Linked DNA regions of Arabidopsis thaliana. The protein of the gene in region 4 interacts with the protein of the main gene of each other region in a pairwise test. Each region holds a gene or a part of one and is shown on either strand. Other genes may lie near its edges.

Evidence for each region.
Region 1: the proteins of AT3G56900 (region 4) and FTSZ2-2 interact in a two-hybrid assay, tested with the Arabidopsis thaliana proteins (one large-scale study listed by BioGRID).
Region 2: the proteins of AT3G56900 (region 4) and CSY3 interact in a two-hybrid assay, tested with the Arabidopsis thaliana proteins (one large-scale study listed by BioGRID).
Region 3: the proteins of AT3G56900 (region 4) and AT2G41710 interact in binary tests that used the Arabidopsis thaliana proteins (3 or more experiments, as listed by UniProt).

The regions. Positions count from the first base shown.
Region 1 is NC_003074.8:19,549,124-19,554,904, forward strand, and holds FTSZ2-2 (Tubulin/FtsZ family protein), read right to left. Parts: upstream 3,979-5,781; 5' UTR 3,769-3,978; intron 3,750-3,768; exon of another isoform or gene 3,443-3,749; intron 3,361-3,442; 5' UTR 3,313-3,360; coding exon 2,692-3,312; intron 2,325-2,691; coding exon 2,025-2,324; intron 1,935-2,024; coding exon 1,844-1,934; coding exon of another isoform or gene 1,803-1,843; exon of another isoform or gene 1,508-1,802; intron 1,467-1,507; coding exon 1,342-1,466; intron 1,194-1,341; coding exon 1,101-1,193; intron 1,016-1,100; coding exon 950-1,015; intron 844-949; coding exon 718-843; 3' UTR 538-717; downstream 1-537. Other genes in the region: AT3G52760 (Integral membrane Yip1 family protein), read right to left, coding at 4,809-5,582. UniProt on the Arabidopsis thaliana protein: Exhibits GTPase activity. Component of the plastid division machinery that forms a contractile ring at the division site.
Region 2 is NC_003071.7:17,802,326-17,807,856, reverse strand, and holds CSY3 (citrate synthase 3), read left to right. Parts: upstream 1-1,783; 5' UTR 1,784-1,865; coding exon 1,866-2,096; intron 2,097-2,185; coding exon 2,186-2,366; intron 2,367-2,468; coding exon 2,469-2,554; intron 2,555-2,761; coding exon 2,762-2,866; intron 2,867-2,982; coding exon 2,983-3,045; intron 3,046-3,165; coding exon 3,166-3,275; exon of another isoform or gene 3,276-3,426; coding exon 3,427-3,546; intron 3,547-3,617; coding exon 3,618-3,693; intron 3,694-3,787; coding exon 3,788-3,861; intron 3,862-3,950; coding exon 3,951-4,071; intron 4,072-4,186; coding exon 4,187-4,284; intron 4,285-4,365; coding exon 4,366-4,489; intron 4,490-4,584; coding exon 4,585-4,725; 3' UTR 4,726-5,016; downstream 5,017-5,531. Other genes in the region: AT2G42780 (transcription elongation factor B polypeptide), read right to left, coding at 5,211-5,376, 5,466-5,531. UniProt on the Arabidopsis thaliana protein: Peroxisomal citrate synthase required for the fatty acid respiration in seedlings, citrate being exported from peroxisomes into mitochondria during respiration of triacylglycerol (TAG).
Region 3 is NC_003071.7:17,399,750-17,404,758, forward strand, and holds AT2G41710 (Integrase-type DNA-binding superfamily protein), read right to left. Parts: upstream 3,302-5,009; 5' UTR 3,155-3,301; coding exon 2,928-3,154; exon of another isoform or gene 2,868-2,927; coding exon of another isoform or gene 2,794-2,867; exon of another isoform or gene 2,706-2,793; coding exon of another isoform or gene 2,675-2,705; exon of another isoform or gene 2,615-2,674; intron 2,588-2,614; coding exon 2,505-2,587; intron 2,359-2,504; coding exon 2,350-2,358; intron 2,261-2,349; coding exon 2,172-2,260; intron 1,992-2,171; coding exon 1,918-1,991; intron 1,853-1,917; coding exon of another isoform or gene 1,838-1,852; coding exon 1,787-1,837; exon of another isoform or gene 1,441-1,786; coding exon 1,379-1,440; intron 1,296-1,378; coding exon 511-1,295; downstream 1-510. Other genes in the region: AT2G41705 (camphor resistance CrcB family protein), read left to right, coding at 1-161; EMB2654 (Tetratricopeptide repeat (TPR)-like superfamily protein), read right to left, coding at 3,995-4,059, 4,156-4,276, 4,384-4,488, 4,605-4,737, 4,834-5,009.
Region 4 is NC_003074.8:21,064,153-21,070,022, reverse strand, and holds AT3G56900 (Transducin/WD40 repeat-like superfamily protein), read right to left. Parts: upstream 3,902-5,870; 5' UTR 3,694-3,901; coding exon 3,636-3,693; intron 3,554-3,635; coding exon 3,498-3,553; intron 3,375-3,497; coding exon 3,210-3,374; intron 3,013-3,209; coding exon 2,898-3,012; intron 2,815-2,897; coding exon 2,715-2,814; intron 2,614-2,714; coding exon 2,434-2,613; intron 2,204-2,433; coding exon 2,145-2,203; intron 1,979-2,144; coding exon 1,891-1,978; intron 1,802-1,890; coding exon 1,720-1,801; intron 1,504-1,719; coding exon 1,404-1,503; intron 1,315-1,403; coding exon 1,263-1,314; intron 1,171-1,262; coding exon 1,033-1,170; intron 928-1,032; coding exon 840-927; intron 743-839; coding exon 680-742; 3' UTR 540-679; downstream 1-539. Other genes in the region: PSRP5 (plastid-specific 50S ribosomal protein 5), read left to right, coding at 116-465; AT3G56891 (Heavy metal transport/detoxification superfamily protein), read left to right, coding at 5,101-5,148, 5,250-5,325, 5,448-5,824.

The DNA.
Region 1 (5,781 bases), 1.5 Mb from region 4:
CTTAATCGTCCCAAATATAAAATGGTGTAGTTTACAAACTGATTAGTTCGTATTTTCTTACATGTTACATCCATTTACAACCAACAAGTTAATCTTCTAAATTTTTTTTTTAATGTGTGTGCAACTACAAAGGTAAACCTGAGATATGCGTAAGACCCTCCCCACCATGTGGAGATTCTCCAAAGGGAGGAGGTGAAGATACGCCGGGACATAACTATAAAAAGCCTTGCAAACCCATTCCAAGACCACCTCCTCCTCGAGATTGCTAGCAGCTTTGAATTTTCAACACAAGTCCTTAATGTTTTTTTAGTAACAATATCATCGAGACTAATTTATTTGCACGATGTGCAATAATATCGTTTAATTATACCTTTTTTCTTTCTTTCTTTCGAAATTTATGTGTAATTTGTGGTAAAAATAATAATTTGTGCACCCGTATGTTTGATTTAAATAACCAAAACCATTTACAATGTCTCATCATAGGATATATTTGTCTTAGATGTTGTTTTTCTATCCATTTATCCAAAGGCAAAATCTGGAAACAGAGTGACAGAGACTAAGATTTATCATCTGTCAAGTAACATTATTTTTGTAATATAGTAAAATAATTTCTAACAACCTATTATAGAATATCACCATAGAGGCAATTTACATAGCCGCACCAAACATTCTTTCTCCTTACATTCAACAATATCATGTAGAGTGATCAAAGTGGGTCTAGAGGCGAGGATAGCGAGAGCGCCCTTTCTTCTTTAAGAACTCTGGGATCTCTATGGAGCTGCCTTCAGTGAATGATGATGAAGGACGTCTTGTGGCTCCCATTGATGCATCCGCTTGTGTCGCCTGTATTTTCATGTAGCAATAAGAGAGATTACAACCGAAGACTTTTAACATTTGATGTAAGAATCGGCTATGTTGTGTGTGTGTGTCAAGGGAGACAAGTGAATACCTGAAGTGGCCTCCCTTCTCCTTCTTCTTGGCGTTTGAAGCCAGTTGCTATCAGGGTAATACTTATCTGACAGGAAGAAAAAAAGTTTAAGCAATTTGGGTATCTCATAGGTTATATGTTAGAAGAAAATCCAAGAAAGAAGAATACTTACTTGACCACTATAAGATGGATCTACCACAGCACCAAATATAAGATTCGCTGTTGGATCAACGAGGTCGTAAATCACTTCTGCAGCAGCATTTACCTACAAATCGTTTCCCGAGAGTCAAAATAGAGACACACAACGTTATATATGACATGGGACTGAAGTTCTTTTATGAATTGTCTAGGGAAGAAACCAAGTGATTTCTAGGACAGGAAATGGTCTGAAAGCGTAGAGAGGGAAAAAAAACCTCGAACAGTGTTAAGTCACTTCCACCGGTTATGTTCCAAACTATTCCAGTGGCTCTCTCAATGCCAATATCTAATAAAGGGGATTGGATTGCGTTTAATGCAGCATCTCTTGCTCGGGTCTTTCCTGCTCAAATAACAGTATAGCTTGAAAGATTAAGCATGATGATGCAGCCAAAACATAGCACCAAAATAGTTCAAGTTTAGGATTTTCCTCAATATACCAACTTGCAGTGGACCAAACATTATTCCTTTGTCATGGTTAAAGAGTACTAAATCTATAGTCAAATTAATCTACTCAGCTACATCTGTAGTACCAATTCTCAGTAAATTGAAAACTTAGCATTTTAGCTAACAAACATATGCATAAAGCGTCGCCTATATTGGTCACAGGGTTCTTTAACCTGCCTTCTAAACCAATATTCCCCTTCGACATACGTAATGATGCAGCAGATAGAGCCTATCAATAAAATAGTTCAATTCCAAAGAACACTCTACTCTTACCTGTTGCAGTTCCTATTCCCATCAATGAAGAACCTGCATTTGCCATTATCGCCCTCACATCAGCAAAATCCACATTGACCAATCCAGGAATCTGCAATGCAAACACAACGATATTGCAGTCAGACATTTTCTATAAACATGGATGTCATAGCTTAGAGAATAAATACTTTCAAAGCCATACCGTAATAATATCAGATATTCCACGGACACCTTGACGAAGTATATCATCTGCCAGATTAAATGCTTCTGTAACTGGAGTAGACTGAGAGACTGCTGCTAGTAACTTGTCGTTTGGAATAACAATGAGGGTGTCAACATTATCTCTGAGGGCTGCAATCCCTTCCTGAGCCTGGAGTGCTCTTCTCCGTCCCTCAAATGAGAAAGGCGTTGTCACAATACCAACCGTTAATATACCCATCGCTTTTGCAACCCCTGCAATTATAGGAGCACCACCTGTGCCAGTTCCACCACCCATTCCAGCCTAGAAAAATAACAAGACATTTGGCTAGAAAAGCTTAGGCACTGAACTTAAAGATCTAATCTTACAGTCAATCTATGGAGGCAGCAAATTCACACAATAACCCATAACTGGTTGTACTTTAAACAGGAAAGTATTCTATGATCGAAGACATAAACCTCACTGCTTTAACCAGATGGAGATAAAAGAGAAACTGGTAAACACAAAGAGAAACTGCAACCCACCAAAATTCAATAAAACCAACATGATATTGCAAACGGCGATTCTGACCCGTAAAACTTCTCATTTGTAATCTATATCTTTATATAGAAATAAGTATAAATAAAAGTTTGTTACTAAGAAAAAGTGAAAGTAATAGTTATAGACATACTGTGACAAAGACCATATCTGAACCATAAAGTGCTTCTTGAATAGCTTCTTTGCTTTCTGTAGCAGCATTCATCCCAATCTCTGGATTACCTCCAGCACCTAAACCCCTAGTCAACTCCTTACCAATTTGTAACCTATTGTCTGGAAAAACCGGAGATATTCTCATTGCTTGGATATCGGTATTCACAATCCAAAACTCCACACCAATCATCTCACTCTCAATCATACGATTCACAGCGTTTGAACCACCACCTCCAACGCCGATAACTTTAATCCTAGCCTCATTGTAAGTGTTTGGAGTAGATAACTCATCCAAATCCTCAGTAATGGGAACACTGGAAGTTTCTTTTCTTGGGTTGAGCATGGATATCTCAGGGTGGAGATTCAAGAAAGAGTCTTGGCTTTGGAAATGGCTTGTACTATGAGAATTCAAAGAGTTTCTGATTGACGAAGACTCGTACTTATGAGAAGCAACAACACGATATCTTTTAGTAGTACCTTCACTCATTCTTAAGCAACCAACCCTCGTGCCTAGATGATGATCAGGTAACACACTCTTTCTAAGAACAGTGAGTACCCGAGAATCCGGAGGAGTTAAACAGGGAGAAACATAAGCTGCCATTCTGAGACTACAGAAGCAACCAAAGATCTATTAAAAACTCCAATTTCACTGCTTCAAGAGAAAGAACAAGAGGTCAACGTCAAGTCCTGAACCAAGAAGAAGATTAAAAAAAAAAAAAAGTGGCACTCACATTCTACAGTACTATAATTGGAAACCAGTTGCATATCAGCAGCATATGGATCAAGTTCAACACTAGAAGCTAAGATACTACAAAGAAAAGTCAATGCTTTAATTAATAAATTTCCGAGGAGTATCAATTTGAATCAGAAAACTACAATTGGCACATCGTACTGTTCTAAAGTAACGAAATTGAAGATGGGGAATTCCAGAAATTTGTAAAACAGTAGACGAATACAAAAAGCTAAGACATTTCGACGATTGAGTACAGAATTTCCAGAGGGAGCAGTTTTAGAGATTGTAGCAGAAGTACATTAACATGTAAAAGACGAAGAGTACCTTACGAGTAGTGGCAGCAGAGAATTCGAGCTACAAAGAAAAAAAAATGGGAACCAATGAAAATGGAAGGTTTTGGTGTTTTCTGGGCTTAGAATCTCTTTCTCGATCACATAAAAGTGGATTATGATTTTGATTTTGCTCCTAATTTTTATCTGTTTCAGTAACAACTACAGCTACTAAATTCATCTGTTAAATAAGTTGGTGAAAGAGACAAAGCGTTAGCCGACGAGAGTGATGAAGAAAATTAAATGTTTAATATAAATGGGCCTATAATGTTGGTCTTAAAGCCCATACAACGAATTCTGGGCTTTAGCCGGATAATAAGCATACGAAAAATTTGCACAATTTTATGAGTCTTTTGCTTGCTCATGTAGAACAGTGAAGTCCATGGAACCATGAATGATGATGAACGTAAACAAGCCACAATTCTATAATTCAGATTGTTTGTTTGCGTTTAGATTTGTTTCGAACGCATCAATTGTGATTGAGACAATCGAAGTATGATAGTTTCGCTATCTTATGCAATGCCATTGCCAGGCCAAAGCTCGTCATGTGTATCTTCTGATCAACTACTTTCTCGCTTATAGAACAATTTCAAGCTAAACCATTCACACTTCTCCCCAGTCACTTATTTATCATTGGTAGTTGAAGCAACCTAAGATCTTTAATCAAAACATCTTAGTGACTCGCTTCTACGTTCGGAAAATCTACACTACAACTGCAACACATGTACGCTAAAAATGAGCAATTGATACTCTCACCAAATCTAATTCAAAGAACAGTTCATGTCAAGAAACTGTCAAACAGAACCACAAAAGGATGTATATGGCATAAACGTTTCGAGATTTCCAATAGTAAGAGATCTTAGAACATCATCTTCAATTACTTAAACCACATCAATAACAACTTCCTCTAAAGTTATCAAAAACCTTTACAATGTCTCAGCTATTTCACCACAAACACTTATAAGATATCACATTAAGCTACTCAGTAATGGCACCGGAAAGTTCAACAATCTATCAATATTCGAAAGCAAGGAATCAAAAGATAACGAGAAGCGAAAACAGAGTATAGATTAAGAAACAGGCGTACGAAATCAATCCACGGTGCTCTTCTCCTCCATCAGCAAGAGACACCACCAGATTAGAACAAGCTCTAGTAGCCCACAACACGAAAGCCGCACCGAGCACAAACCGAACGGGACCAGCACCTTGTGGCACAAACAAGGACACCGCGGACAAAATCACAACGGGAAGCAGAGAGTAACCAACTAAACTCGTACAAGTATGAAGATTAAGATTCCCATTTCTACCAGCAAGCATATTGAAGACAATGTACAAGAAGATAGAAGAAACAACAACCCAACCAAGTATAACACCAAACTGTATCTTCCCAGCGAGCAATTGAAATAAGCAAAGCGCAAGGTATAAGAAGATCGGACCAGAGAGATCTGAATCTTTGTGAACAGTCTGATTGATTCGAAAAGGATTGAGAATCGATCTAGTTTTCTTCCAGATTTGATCTGGATGGATACCGAGTTCGTCGAGTAAAGGCTCCTCATCCTCAAACGAAGCAGAGACTCCTCTACCGAAAGATGCAGATGAAGCGATTGTTCCGTCGAATGGTCCCGCCGGCATTGAAACGGCGGCGGATCCGATTTCAAATGGAATGAAAGGGATTGAAGATGAAGCGGAGGATTGACGTGGTGGTTGGTAAGGAGCTGTGGGAACTCGGCGTTGCTGAACATTTGCGGTGGCCGGAGATGATCCACTGGTGGGGAAAACAACCGGTGGAATTGGAAAATCCTTCGTCATCCTCTAGAATCCCTAATTCAGATCTCGAATTTGAAGTTAGTGTTTTCTCTCAATCGGATTTGATTTCAGAAATTGAAAATAATTCCAGTAACAGGCGACTACTACGCATTCTTCGTGTTCGTATCTTCGTGATATGTGATAAGGGCATTTTCGGTAAGTGAATTAATAATGTTTTGGGCCGTATAAGGCTTTATCAGCC
Region 2 (5,531 bases), on a different chromosome or scaffold from region 4:
TATACAAAAGAGAAAATAACAAATGAAATGAAACGACGTTTTTGTTTTCTATTGGGTAAGAATTAAATTTCTAGTAAATCTGTTATAAAATTTACATACATAGAGTGTAATAAACAAAAATAAGGGAGCAGTTTGGACAAAGAGTTTGCAGTGAGTCTGATAAAACGACACAACCTGATTCAAGTCTAACCATGCAACTAAATTGAAGACCTAGAAAAATTAATGTTAATTGAGTTTCAACTAACCATTTCAAATTTGTGTTAAGCTAATTTATTTATCTTAATCAACTAACGTAATTTGTTTTTAAACTGCTATTTGCTAAATTCATTATGTAGGAGTAGCCGAGTAGGACCCTGAATGGTACGCTCAAAAGAGGTAGCAGCGTCATCGAACTTAACGTTAGGACACCCTATGATTGATCGTATCAAATGACCAAAATTAAAAAGATGATTGAGTAAACCAATTAATTTTGGTATATAAACAATCTTTTTATTATCGTACACATTTTTGGGATGTGATGTGACTAATGAAAGGTTTAAATATATTTAAACATGATAAACGCAGAAACCACCATATAGAGGAGAAACTAGAAAAATATAATTTGTCAGTCATGTGTCTAAATCCACACCTACTTTTTTCTCATGCTTTTTTTCTTCCTGCAAATATTGCATTTCCTTTGCCTCTCTCACACATTTCCTCTGTCACTTTCTTTTTTATATATTTTTATTTCGGAATTCCATTACCGTGAAAAAGCTTTGTTTACAACAGTAATTTTGTTTCAAATGCTTTCTTGTTGTCTATTTTTATCAATTACTATGCCTCTGCTTGAATAACTTAAAAACACAAGTGATGTTAATTGTGTTATTGTAGATCCTATGAACAAATTTAATTTATAGACGTGTGAAGTTATAAATGAAAGATATCATTGAGTGAGTGATCACCGTTGCAGATAATGTTTAAAGAAAAAAAAAAGGAACAGTTCCTTGTTCATGTCATCATGTGTTGAAAACGGAAGGAGGGAAAGAAAAATCTATCACTCTCAGATTCAGAGCCTCACGTGGGGTAAACTTAGAATTCTATTTTTAGGTACGAATCAAAATATACGACCCGTCGCTTTTAACATGTCATTTATTATACCTTTCACTCTCATTTCCTCCATGCTTTTTTTTTAAAACGTAATTAGACCTATTCATTCTCCATAATATAATACATAAATACAACTTATAAGATTAATAGCCTCGTACACTAACATTAAAGAGTAAATAACCGTTTGTATTTTCCATCTTTTGATTAATGATAACTATAATTTATGAAGAACATCCATAAACTCATGAGTTTTATTTTGAACGCAACATCCATATTTAGCTTTACATTCATTTTTTTAATAAGATTTCAGTCATAGTTCGAAAAATGAATGTTGGGTTGGTTCCGATGGTAAAGCGAGCCGTATCAACAAAAAAGGCCCAAATAAAAAGTGGTATACTGTTGGGCCTAAAGATGAATATACAGAAGCCCATATTAAGACAATTCGGCCCATTCAGCATTGCGTAGCAATCGAATTGATATTTAGCAAATCGAGGAAAGCAATTGACTAACTAGATAATACTGATAAGTGGGTCCCACATAATTCTGACAGCTTAGAGATGGAGAAGATCATCACCGTTAGTCCAAGTTGGGTCAATAAGGCTTACGCCGTTGGATATCAAGATATCCGTTAGATCGCATACACGTGGATACTGTTCAATACTCCTGACCGCAGGGGATAAGACACGTGTTATATTAACGAAGAGTAAGAATGGTTTCTAATAATTTCTTCGCTCCCTTTCTTCTTCTTCTCTCCTTCTTTGAATTTTGATTTTGGTTGAATGGAGATATCAGAGAGAGTTCGAGCTCGATTAGCTGTTCTCTCAGGTCATTTATCGGAAGGAAAACAGGATTCTCCAGCGATCGAGCGATGGTGCACGTCGGCGGATACGAGTGTCGCACCGCTTGGATCTTTGAAGGGAACACTGACGATCGTCGACGAACGCACCGGAAAAAATTATAAAGTTCCGGTCTCAGATGATGGTACCGTTAAAGCCGTTGATTTCAAAAAGGTTTAACCCTTTTTCTAAATGACCATTTTCCTATCACTGTGGGATTTTGAGCTGAGAATTTGCTTTGTTGCGTGTTGTTTGGCTTGCAGATAGTGACGGGGAAGGAAGACAAGGGGCTTAAGTTATACGATCCAGGTTACTTGAACACGGCTCCTGTTCGATCTTCGATTTCTTACATCGATGGAGATGAAGGGATCCTTCGTTACCGTGGCTACCCAATTGAGGAAATGGCTGAGAACAGTACTTTTCTGGAGGTGGCTTATCTTCTCAGTAAGTGTTTTACCTTTTAACCTTACTACACAATTTCAAGTGTTATGTGTATCGAATTGGACATTGATGAAAAGTTTTCTCCTTTACTATATTTTCTGGCAGTGTATGGGAATCTGCCCTCTGAAAGTCAGCTATCTGATTGGGAGTTTGCAGTTTCTCAGCATTCAGCTGTGCCACAAGGTGTATTAGTGAGTCTCTAATCCTTGGTTGATGGATTTCAATTTCGATTTGTAAAATGGAGTTAGCCTGTTCTTTACTAGTAGCCTATTTTCTTGTCTGGTCGAACAATAATTTGTCAAGACTGTTCTATACATGTTGTTCTGAGGATTGTGTGCTGTACTCAAAGCTATATATTTCTCATATCTAACTCCACTTACTTGATAACTTTTGTGCAGGATATTATACAGTCTATGCCTCATGATGCACACCCAATGGGAGTTCTTGTGAGTGCAATGAGTGCGCTTTCCATCTTTCATCCTGATGCTAATCCTGCTCTTAGGGTAGGTTTAACCTTATATTACTTCTCTAACAACATGTCAGGCCTTGTCACTCGCTAGTTTTAGCTCTTTTGAAATTGTCCGTATAAACATGTTGACTGATACTCTATTGGGTGCAGGGCCAGGATATTTACGATTCAAAACAAGTTAGAGATAAACAAATTATCCGCATTATTGGAAAGGTATTTTTTTGTTATCAGTGGTTACCTTACTTCTTCCTATATTGTGTCACGCATAAACATATTTGGACTCTGAATTTCATGAAGATCTGATGCAACTAAACGTGTTTGCGATTTGTGCAGGCACCAACAATTGCAGCAGCTGCTTATCTGAGGATGGCAGGAAGGCCTCCTGTTCTTCCTTCAGGAAACCTTCCTTATGCAGATAATTTCCTCTATATGCTTGATTCCCTGTATGTCTCTGCTATCTCTTTCTTCTTGAATTAGTTAGAAACTCAACTTTTAGATTTAGTTTTAGATCTTGACGCTTCAGAGAACTTGAAGCCTAGTTATTTTTTTACTGTGTACATAACTTGTAGCGTGCCATTAACACACTTCTTACAGGGGAAATAGATCCTACAAACCTAATCCTCGGCTGGCTCGGGTGTTGGACATCCTCTTCATACTGCATGCAGAGCATGAAATGAACTGCTCCACCGCTGCTGCTCGGCATCTTGCCTCTAGGTACTTATCTTTGGTTGGAATCTTAGTGACCTTGATAGGAGATATATTGATTAGGAAATGTCTTCTTGTAGCGGTGTTGATGTCTACACTGCTGTTGCTGGAGCTGTGGGAGCGCTTTATGGTCCACTTCATGGTGGTGCAAACGAGGTATGCTATTTATTCTCATGTCTTCATATGTTACATCTTCTGATGTATTTTCATGCTCCATGGTCTTTGAAATTCATGTCTTTGGTTCCATTAGGCTGTGCTTAAGATGTTGTCAGAGATTGGGACTGTTGAAAATATTCCAGAGTTCATTGAGGGTGTGAAGAACAGGTAAAATCAATTCTTGAAACTATATGCTTCCGTTTCCGAGGTTTGTGACAAGTCTTTTCATTAAAATTCTCATCCCTTTGACATCTTAGGAAGAGGAAGATGTCTGGTTTTGGACACCGTGTGTACAAAAACTATGACCCTCGAGCTAAAGTCATCAAGAACCTGGCTGATGAAGTATTTTCCATTGTTGGAAAGGATCCTCTAATTGAGGTACGCTATGTCCACGAAGTTCAAGCTTATACTACAACTTGATGCCCACCTTTTCGATTTAGTGTAATTTTTCATGTTTCCTTAAAGCCAATGTGTTTGATTCTGATGTCTGCAGGTTGCTGTTGCACTTGAGAAGGCAGCTCTCTCTGACGATTACTTTGTTAAGAGAAAGCTGTATCCAAATGTTGACTTCTACTCTGGATTAATATACAGGTAAAAGTTTGAATGCATGTGCAGTATCCATAACTTCCTCTCAACTTCATCTAAATCTGCAAACTTGGACCATTACAACAGGGCAATGGGATTTCCACCGGAGTTCTTCACGGTCTTATTCGCGATTCCTCGCATGGCTGGATACTTGTCACATTGGAAAGAGTCACTGGATGATCCTGACACCAAGATCATGAGACCACAACAGGTATAGTTAATCTCTTTCCAAGAATAATAAGAGAAAGATTTTTCTTTGGATCAATTTGAAACTTGGATGGTTCATTGGAATATTAAATGTTGCAGGTGTACACAGGCGTGTGGCTGAGGCATTACACACCAGTGAGAGAGAGAATAGTGACGGATGACTCGAAAGAGTCAGACAAATTGGGTCAAGTCGCGACTTCAAATGCATCAAGAAGACGTTTGGCTGGATCTTCAGTTTAGACGTAGGCCCTTTTAGGGTCCATACTATACATCAAACCACACCGCAAAGAATAAAAGAGATTGGTTTCTCTAGCCTAAAGCTAAGATACTTGATCATACTCGAAACTTAGATTTCTCATTTTGTAGGCACAATATAGACTTGATCTATATTTGCTTCAATCCATCTTCTAAGGGTGTTTGTCCGCCTTGTTTGTCTTCTTATCAGAACGTGTTTATTGTATAAAATGATTTATGGTTATGGATTATTACTCTAATTTCTATATCGAATGCTTCTGCAGAGACGTTTGTTGTGAAATATCTCGGCCAAAGCAACAAGTAGAAAACAAAGCACTTTATTAAATCATTGTAAAAACTTTTGAAGATCTATTGTTACAAACTAGGATATCATCAAGCCAGAGTTTCAAAACTCGGAGTTCTTGAAACTTGAAGTAGCCATGTAAATGATACACTCGAAGAAAAAATGATCTGTAAAAAAGCTATATAAGTTACATTACATGTTTTTGTCTGGTGGCTGCATTTTTTGAAGTTGAAGGAGCAGTCCCAGGAAGGCCGTTGATCCTCCTTGGAGGTAGCTTTTGTCCACCAGAAGGAACGCTTCTTGAAGTTGAAGGCGCATTAGCGGATAAGCCAGTCCTCTTTGGAGCAGATATACTATACAAGACATGATCCGTCAAACCGATCAAGTTTGGGGGATAAAGAAGTGGATCCATATAGATATATAGATACTGAGGACATGTTACCTGAAACTCTTCTGAATCGTGTTCTTTTTAGTTTCAGTAAGATTTCGTCCACCATAAGGAATGCTT
Region 3 (5,009 bases), on a different chromosome or scaffold from region 4:
GTCTGAGCACAGTTTCGACCTTCATGGCTGAGTTCAATGCGATGAGAGAAAGTGATTACCCATGGAGAGCCTATGCGTATGCATCTTTTACCATTGTGGTTTCTTTTGCGATTGGAACTATTATATACTCAGTCCCTGTCTGGGTAATAGGATTCAGTTAGTTGTATCAAAGCTAGATAAGTCTTGTGCAGATGATGTGATAATACATAGTCGTAACATTTGGTAGAGATGAATAATTAGATCGGTCACAATCAAATTATATTATACCTTGTGCAGAAATATTAAGAGCAAACTTCTATACTATAATGATAACTTTTTTCTGTTTTACACAAAATATCATGATTCTATATTCCACACTGGAAAAAAAAAAACACAACCACTAACAAAACCTGTACATTCCTGCTTCAGACCATTGTCACACTTTTCCCAACTTTTTCTCCATAAAAGAGACAAAGAGATGTCAAGTCGACGAATTCATCTCAAAAAAGGAGAATCTGACATACATAAAGTCTAAAGGGAACGGCTCATTTCTCTTGTGGGAGGTAGCTGTACGTGGAACAGCTGGTCTCTGTCTTTGTCACCTGCAGAAGAAAGAGAGCCAAAGAAAATGACATAAGGAAGATGTGTTGTAGTAACCTCTGAAGTCTCTGGTTCTATAGATATATGACTACGAACCTCTGAAGTAAGAGAGGATCCTGAAGGAAGAAATGGTGTCCAGAGAATAGGGTCTGCAAGAGGATCCAATGTATTGTAGTTGGTGAGCAATGGAGCCGTTAAGAGAGAGGTAAGTGGGTACATGCTTTTCTGAAGAGACAAAGCAGCAGCACCGCCTAAAGCAACTCCATGACTCACAACTGGTTTCTCTATTGCCTTGCCGTTATTCTTCTCCATATTGATGATGTTACGGTTTGCATTCTCATCGTTTTCATTATTGCAGCTTTCTTGGATCTTCAACACTTTCTCCTCTAGGCTCTTGAAGGCAGGCGACTGAGACAAGATGCTTAAAGCAGAAGAGCTTGATGGTGATGATATTTCTTTTTCTTTTCTCTGAGTTCCACAAAGGACGCCAAGGTTTGGCGCCTTGTATGGTTCTGTTGCATGGGATGTGTGTTCCAGTGTTTTAAGCTCAGTACCAGCATCTTCGACGTTTGCATCCTCTGATGCTTTTGATGAAGATTCTGGTTGACGGTTCTTGTTGGCTCCCCACCACTTTATGTATCCTGTTAGATCAATCTTTCTTTCCAGACAAAAGCTACCTAGAAAGTCACCTTCTGTTCCACGATCATCACCTGCCCCTGTTAATAATGACAATGAGTTTTGAATAGTCTGATGCAAGCAAACATTTGTTTCAATTAGGTCAATATTGTTAGCAACTCACCGTAATGAATGTTACTGAAGTATTCAGGTCCAGGCATACGACTGGCTGATGCGTCCCATCGGCTGGTCGGGAAGTGCAGAATAGATGGAAAGACAGCAGAAATGCATATCAGGTATGAATGTTAATTGTGAGAAAGAAGGTTAAAAAGACAAAACTAAAGAGGGCTACAGCCAAAACAGTGAAGATAGTTTTGCCATATCCCTATTCTTAAGAGTAGCATATAGACTTTTCTATGAAATTAACTAGTAGCATATCCACCATATGTCAATTAATCAAAACCGTGATGATCCACAATGTGTCACTAAAGAATCTTCCTTATAGGCAATTACACAAAGATGATCACTCTTGATTCCATAGTTTTTCAGACAAAACAGAGAAATGAGAACTCAATTGCTGGTCCAGTTTTACCTTTGAAGTCCACGATATTTCGCTATTCCCCTAGAGAAACCGCTGCTTTTTCTGCCAAAGGGATATCTAAAGAGTATCAGCAATAAATGGTTCTTAAAAGAAAACTATAGTGCTTTTAAATACATACGCACCTACGTAAAGATGCAAGGTATTCTTCCCTTGAGAGATTTTGCATTTCTTCTAAATCCCTGGTATAATCAGTCACCTACGAGAATGAAATACGTAAATGCATGTAGCTAAAAACAGTGAAACTTGAGAAGGGTGGCTCCAAAACACTTCTAACCATCCTTACTCCACTTATGCATATATATTGACCATGAAAATTATTAAGGAAACCACACGGTTGAAGAGTAACTTAGAAAGCATACTACGGTAGCAATCTCACCGGAAAATTTATAAGTGTCCCAGGACCCCAATATTTTAAGGCAGCAAGGTCGTAAGCTCTAGCAGCAGCCTCTTCATCATCATATGCTCCTGTCAAGTAAGAGTTGGGTTCTTCAGTGAAAAATTATCCAATTTGATATACAAGAATATAATCAACACATATAAAGCTTTTAGCTTACCTAGATAAACTGGTGTGGCGAAATTCCGTCACCCATGAAAATATATAGGAAACAGAAAAGATCAGCTTTGATACTCCAAACAAGAGAAAACTTATTGCAAATGACAACAGCAATTTTATCAGATGCAGAGAGAAAAAAAAAAGAAGAAGAGGAACCTTGTTTTCCCTTCTTGTTCTGGTTTTGGTTCCAGGTACTCTTATCCCAAAGGTGAGCTTCATAACGACCTGTCCATCTATGTCTGTACTCAACACAAATACGACAAACAAAACGCATCAACATCTCCAACTGCTATGGAACAAAAACCTCATACAGATGCTAAGCACACCTACTCATTTCTTCTAGTTTGAGCCTAGACACTATAAAATCTGACATTAGGTGAAAATTAGTGTGTTTTAGAACAGTTTACAGATTCCAGATAATTTAGCTCCACACAAGATCCCTAACCAAAGTGCATATCCACCAATCCAAACATTCCATACTCTAATACAGATAACACAACTCCCAATTCACAACCAAACCTATACTCCAATCTCCTCCGCATCATAAACCGACAATCCCGATTTGAAAAGTCACAGTACCTGGTGACTCCCCGGTATATGGAACTCCTTTTCCCAGCAGTGCACGGAGGCATTTTACTAATACGCTCCTTAGCTGTACAACCTCTCTCCTTCTTCGCCTTCTTAAAACCTCTATACAACAACATCTGATCACTCGCCGCCACTGTCTCCGAGCTCTCTCCTCCTCCTCCGCCGCTACATCCTGCTTCTGTCTTAGGTCCTTGATCCGACGACGACACCGACGCCATGATCGGAACCTTCTTCCCACCAACCAAACCCTAGACGCACTATGGCTAAGCAAAACGGAGCTTCTTGATACAGTAGAAGTAAAGAGAGAGAAAAAGAGAGTGAGAGCTGAGAAAATTCAACTTTGACTCTTTCCTTTTTCACCGAATACAATGATTTTGATTTTTGAGTCTTTTCTAGTAATCTAAACAACGGCAAAATAAAATTACGGACTTAATTTACCATTACGTCCCAATTTTGTTTTTCCTTTTTCAACGAAGCGAAAGATAATAACTGCAACGGCTATGTACGGAGACGAGGGTGCTTTCGTCATTAGTAGAATAGGTTTATATGCTGACGTGTACTAATTATGTCCACGTGTACGTGATCTGTTTCTGGATTCTGACATTTTAATGTGAAGTGTTTCCCAACTCTCGCCTCGTTCCAAGGAATATTCTTCCTATGGTACACTCACGATGTTGTTGTTTTGTTTATCAAACTAAGCTTAATAATTTTCGGAATATTTTAAATTCGGATTTTCTTTCCTACCATTTGATTCTTCATATTGCTACCGTTGTAATGACTTACACATCGAATCATTCCATTTAAAAATCATAATTCAAACTTTTTGAAATGATTGGTTGAATTGAATGTCTTGTATCAGTTTATCTATTATCTGCACATACAAGCTGGATCCTATAGCAATTCAATATGTAACTCTAGCCAACAATCTACGTTTATTTTCAATACTAAAATGATTTCGTTTTCTGAATTGAATTATCATATTATCGATAGAGGAGATTACAAGTTACAAACATCATATGCATAATCACTGGGCCAAAAATACAAGCATATAGTGGAAATTACAACAATGTGCCTTCGTGTCTAAAAGTTGGAATCAGACCTTCTCCTTTGTTTCTCAGTGATTCTATGGAATAACCAACAAAAAATGAAATGTGAGACACCAAAAAGATCGAAAATCATGTGACAGAATCATTTATTTTGCATTCCTCTCTCATCTCACCCAATTTTTGGCGTATTAGAGGCTCGAACTCGATCCCTGCACTTCTTTCACCAAAGGAGATTATGTCACGATACATTTGGTTCGAGGGTTGAATACCAGCACCACTCATCCATTCTAAAACCTGCAAATCATTCACACAAAAGTCAAATTTTATTTCTCAACCGCAAAACTTGCTTGGTCATTGCTAATTGAAATTCATTTGGCAAGAGACAAACAAAAAAGTATTACCTCAATGTATTTTCTCCAGTTTCCAACAGCTAAAAGATGTTCCAACAGTATTGCATAAGTCTTGAGGTTGATTCCAACACCAGAGGCAATAATCTTATAGAACAGCTGCGTGTGTTTAGTGGTACAACATGGTTTCGTTAACATTCTTTTGTAAACAGGTTGGCAGAAAAGAAAGATAATGTGGAAGTCTAATTAGCTGATCAACTAAAAGTTCGTTGTACCTTCATCATTGCTTCAACTTTACCACTCTTCCCGAAAAGATGCAGCATCTGATTAGTTAACCCGATAGAAAGCGATGGCAGGTACGGATCCATCATTTGGATGAGGTCTATTGCTCTTTTCCATTCCTGCAAGCTGCAATGTTGAAAGAAGAAGGGTGATATATTGCTCTTTCTGTAATTCGAGCAAGTATTTTACTGTAATGTTTTAAATAGACATACAAGAACTTACGTGTTACAAGCCGAAAATATCTCAAAGAAGACCGCACCAGTGAAGGGGATTTCTTTTTCCCGCATTAAATCCATCAGGACAAAGACATTTGACGGTTGACCTCCCTTGTTGAAAGCTCTCATCAAAGCTGAACAAGCAATCGAATCTGGCTCTATTCCATTTGCCTCCATTTCCAG
Region 4 (5,870 bases):
ATTGTCCCAAAAAAGTGAAGTTTTGTTTTAGGGCAGTCAGGTTTTAAGCTTAAAGATCGAAGCATTTAATCGAACACTTGGTTTACTTGTAATGCTCTAATCTTTTGTGTTTCAGTTTTGAGCCTTAAACCCAACGCTGTCGAGTCCAAGAACAGAGTCTCTCTCAGTGCTTACAGCTTGAACTCTAGCCATGGAAGAATTGTGGTGAAGGCGGCTGCTTCTGGCGTGGACGGGGCTGAGCCTGAGAGCAAGGAGGAACCAAAGACTGTTGTTGCTGCTGTTCCAGTGGATAAACTACCGTTGGAATCGAAAGAAGCTAAAGAGAAACTGCTCTTGGAATTGAGGCTGAAGATGAAGCTGGCCAAAAAGATTAGGCTACGCAGGAAACGTCTGGTTCGTAAGCGTAAGATGAGGAAGAAGGGTCGATGGCCACCTTCCAAGATGAAGAAAAACAAGAATGTCTAAGTGACTCAACTGTTTGCTGCTTTTCGTATTCGTTTTTTGTAATGTTCTTTTTGGTGTTCAAAGACCATTAATGTACTTCAAATGCAACCATTGTTTTTGGATTTAACTTCAAAGCTGAGTTCTTTAAAGAAACCATTTGTATACAAAGAGTGAGCAGTCTACAAAATAGAACCAAAAAGTTTGAAACTTGCATTAAATTTGAACCATTTGGCTATTAAGGAAGAACATGTGAGCGGAAGATGAGAGGATAGGTGCAACAGAATCCGGTGCTCCAACACTGCAACAAGGTTTATTTGGAAGATTAATTAACTAACCGATTCTACCTGTATGAATACTTTGGCATGAAAAGAGACTTAATCAAGCATATGCCTTACCACAGAAAGGAGTGGACCTTGCTTGAACTTGTCATGGAATGAAAAGGAGAGAGCTTTCGGGTTTTCTCCAGGTCCTCTGATGAAACCGCTGTAATCATAAAAGCATCAGATTTTGTCTATCCATTTAGACAATGCAAAGATATACAAAAGGAGGTCAAGTCCGATGGAATGGATAACAGTAAGAGTTACTTACACTAGTGATGCTGATACAATAGGTGTCCTTCGTGTGTCGTAGATGGCAATCAATCCTTTGTAATTTTCATCGCCTCCTTTGTACGACACAGCCAATCGTTCTCCAGATGCATCCCATGCTATCTTCTCGATGCCCTCACTGGTTATTTCAGTTATGAAAGACAATATCAAGAAGTGATTAACGGAAGGCCTTTGCAAGGGTTTATTGAACAAAACAATCAAATAATTTACCAGCCAGTTAGAGAAGCAATCTCTGGCAATTCAACTGGTAATAGATGGGCATCTGAAAGTAAACCAAAACAGAGATTTAGTGTGCTAACTGGTAAGTATTTCTAGTAGTATAGGCAAAACGACTTCAAAGTTTCTGCATACCCAAGGATGGTGGCTTGGATGAGAAATGAACAGAGCCCAGTGTTGAAGATTTCGAAAACGAAATCAAGATAAACCGTCCTTCGGGATCCCATATCGCTCCCTATCATAGAAGGGAGTATAGTATTATTGCTTGGTCCATTTACGAAGATGGAACACAGTTGCAATTTCATACATAAAAGAAGGAAATGAATGCTTTAGTACAATGGAGTCATGTACATAAGCTATGCATACCACACTAGTGACGTTAACCTCTCCAACAAAACGCTTTTAACAATACTCTATTGCATATCTCACTATTATAGGCTCACGATCTTACCGTGACAGATCCAGATCCACTAGACAAAGACCAGGGTTCAGATGTCCATGTGTTTGTTTCCCAAAGACAAAAAGTCCCATCACTGTGACAGAAAAACATTTTATTAGCAATCATATCAAACAGGAAGCTACTTTCCACATCTGTAAAAAAGAAAGAGAGTTGATGTCCTACAATCTTGCTGCAAAGAAGTAGTCTCCTGTAGGTGACCATTTAAGCATTGATATTCCACCTAGTCCCCGTCTAATAGGTGTCCCTGCCCCTGGAAGATGTATACATATCACTTTCAGAAACAAGGAATTGCAAGATGCATTTTCTCATCTCAACGCAACAGATAGGATGTTAAATAAGAGGAAGCTGGATTAATGTTCAAACATTTGCATGATGTTGTGCATTAAGAAAGTGTTCTTAATTGTCGTTCTAGTTACCTTGAGAAACATCCCATATGGTGAAAGATGAACTGTCATATGAGGCTGATGCTAAATACGTGAAAATAGGTCAAGGAGTAACAGGATGGACAAAGTTAGGGATCCATGTGATGCAAAGACAGAAAAGATCGAACAAATCCAAATACTTTCCCAACAAATGCCTATCATGCGATGCGGCTTGATAAACAACTATGGTAATTGAAATGATCATGGAAACGTATGTAGTTAAGTAACAACTCCAAAATGAAGTTAAGCAAAACAGTTATAGCAGAAATTTTGTTTAGGATATCTTCCACAGGGGCTCCATGAGAGAGCACTAATTTGCTCATCATTTTGACACCGAAGAAAGTCCACCAAAATCCAACGAGTTCCAGATCCTCGAGAGAGACTTCCCCTCAATGCGGAACCACCAGATCTAACCAATGCCATGTTACCCGGATATGAAGCAGCCCATATGCATATTCCTCCCCTGTTTCAATGGAACAGTTATTACAGTAGAATCAAACTTAGTTATCTATGAAACTGGCTACTCTAGAAAGTAGACAGGATCAGAAGACCAATAATACACACCGACAGGCAATGGATAGGGATTTTCCACCATTTGGTCTCCACTCAAGGGCTTTAACATTTCTTTGTGAATCACTTGTCAAAATGCAAGGTTCTTTCTCATCTGTTCAAAAGAAGAATATGAAACTGTATGCACACACCGGCAAATGTGAACTAGGAATCCTGAATTGAATAAATAAAACAAACCTTTGTCCTCATAATCACGAATTGTAACTTGATTTGCACCGGATATAAAGGCAATAATATGCTTCCCTTGATGCCAACTCACTCCTTGAAGATCAATCTCTGAGAGTAGAGTTACCTAGAAAAGAAAAGGTGAGCAAGGCTGTGGCTTTATTAATAACAGCTATGATAATGCCATTTTGAAATTGCAAAGAACATCCCTCCTATCAATTCCCCTAGATACATAAAGATAAGTATTGTAACCATCAATCACAAAATGCTAAGCTTTCTTTAGTCAACCAAACAAAGAAACAGACTGATAGTTGAAACTCTTACATCGGTGGGTTGTAAAATCTGTTTAAGAGAGTCTGCAACCTTCATCTGCAGTGTTGCAACCAGTCCTTTACTCTCACCACTTGCCTTATCTCCATTCTCTTGTCCTTCATTTTCCTGAAGAGAGCTAGGAGTAGAGTCGAACGAAACAGGGCTAAACACCATTCCCTGTGATCAAACGCAAAACCCCCAAATCCGATGGAAATTTGTCAAAAAGAAAACATTTGCTACTTACAAATATGGTTTTTAAGCTTATAAGAAATCAGAAACGAAAGAGAAACGCCCACGTACAAGAACTTTTCCATAAGTCTCCTGAGCTCGCTCATCAGATAAGTTCTGAGCCGTAACTGCGCTACGAAAATCTAACCATTAGCTCAGAAGTTTCGAAATCCCTACATTTTTCAATGGAAGGGAAAAGCTTTAACATACTCAAGTCTCTGTTGATCTCGCAGACGGTGACGGAACCGGGATGAGGAAAAGATGCCATTGTCCCTTTTTTAAAGATGCAATTCAGATTGAAACAGTGACTTCGGTGTGCAAATTCGTAGCAGTTACTTATCTGCTCAAAGGTTTGATGAGACTCGAAATGACACGGTTAGTGTAGACTGTGGCCGGAGAACGGCGACTGATTTTCACCGGAAAAACGGAGAGAGAATTTGAGTTTAGGGGTTTTGATTTTGAACGATGATGTGTCTCAATATTCCGGCAGGTTGGGTGAGTAGTAAAAGACTATTTTATCCCCATTTGATCTTATTCCTGGACCGGGCCTTAACCGGACATAAACTTTTAAATAAATCATTAATCATCAAATCAAGGATGAATTAAGTTTAGAGCCGGACCGGACCGGTTTAGTCATCCTTGACGTTCCTAATCATTAATCTCTGTGTTATTTTAAGTCACAAAACTAAGAAAGAACCAAAATCTTTCTTTCAAGATATGGTTTTTGCTTATGTGCTTCTTCTCGGTAATTTACGTAACACAAATTAAAAAGGTTTCTCAATCTTTTTTTCTGCGAAATGTAACTTATAGAGTACACAAGTGATCAAGTTGCATCATAATGTGTTGTATTGCCCTTTTGATTTTGTTTTTATTGGTGGTAAAGCGAGTTATTTCGTTTACGTATTTAGTAGATTTCGAAACCTCACAAATTCAAATGATTTGGATTTCATTTTCTCTACTTGGAAATGCTATATATTCACATTTTGGCTATTCACACGACTTGCATGCATTCTATCAACATATATACATTAATAAGCTAATATGTGTCTGTAATTTTTGTATATATCCACTATTTGGTAGGCAGGAGATCTTGACTTTTGAATATGCGTATGCCACTTCGGTTCGGATTAATTGCCTGGAAATCAAAACTAATAAAATTTAGATTGGTCGGTCTTATAGTTTTCAATATCCAACGAAACTTTATTAAAAATAAAATAAAATCAATAATACATTTATTTATGTTGAATCTCGTCAAATTTCTTAACTCTACGGACAGAAAAAACGTTAAAACGATTGAGACAAGTTTCTGTATATGCTTCTACATCATTTTTAATTAATATAATTTTAAGCTAATCTCTTAATTCTTTGAAATACGCTAAAATTCATATATTATTTTGGTAAACCCTTACTCTAGTAATAAGACACAATAATTAAAACTCTGGCGACACCAAGACACAAGATATATAATGTAAGACTTAGGACATAAGCTTTTTGCATCTCACAAGACGCAAACGCGGTTTCTTGGAATCACACACCAAGTGTTCCTAATACGCGCAGTCATTTCCATTCCACCTATATAAATATATCTCATACACATACAACCAAAATATTATATTGAAAGCAAAAAGATCTTAAGACAAAACGTAAATTCTCGATCGACAAGATAATTAAGAGAATGTTTGATTGGATACATGGAAACTCTCGATTACCAATCGCTTTATCTGTACGTTGCCATCTATGTCTTTGTTCGTTGTTCTTTTTATTGATGGTTATCATCAAACGTTTTGTTCATTTTCTAATGTATATTTTCTTCTGTTGTTTAAGATTGTGGAGCTTTTGGTAGACATGGATTGTAAAGGATGTGAAAAGAAGGTTCGAAGAGCCATTTCTAAACTCGATGGTAAGAAAAATTCAGAAAAACAAAATCAAACATCGATTTTAGTCGTATCATTTAGCTTTCATAAATATATGTTTGGTCTTAAGGCAAATCTTGATTAACAGTATAATAATAAATATGTGTAGGAGTGGACACGGTAGAGATAGACGTGGATCGACAAAAAGTGACAGTCACGGGATACGTTGATCGAGAAGAGGTTCTAAAGATGGTGAAACGAACGGGACGAACAGCGGAATATTGGCCATTTCCTTACAATGGATATTATGGTGATTACTATACATATCCTTCTCAACATTTGGAACAATCGGATCAGAAGATATATCAGACAATCTCATATAGTGGAAAGTATGATTTCTATGACGTTGACGACTTTCAAAATACAAACAACTCTACTATCAATGGTTATTATCCTAGTTCATCCCAAAAAGTTCAACCTAATATCGATGAAAATGCTCTTCATCTTTTTAGCGATGATAATGCTCATGCTTGTACTATCATGTGATTTGTGTTATTAATTTTTGACGTTGGATTCTTTCATTCCTTTATTC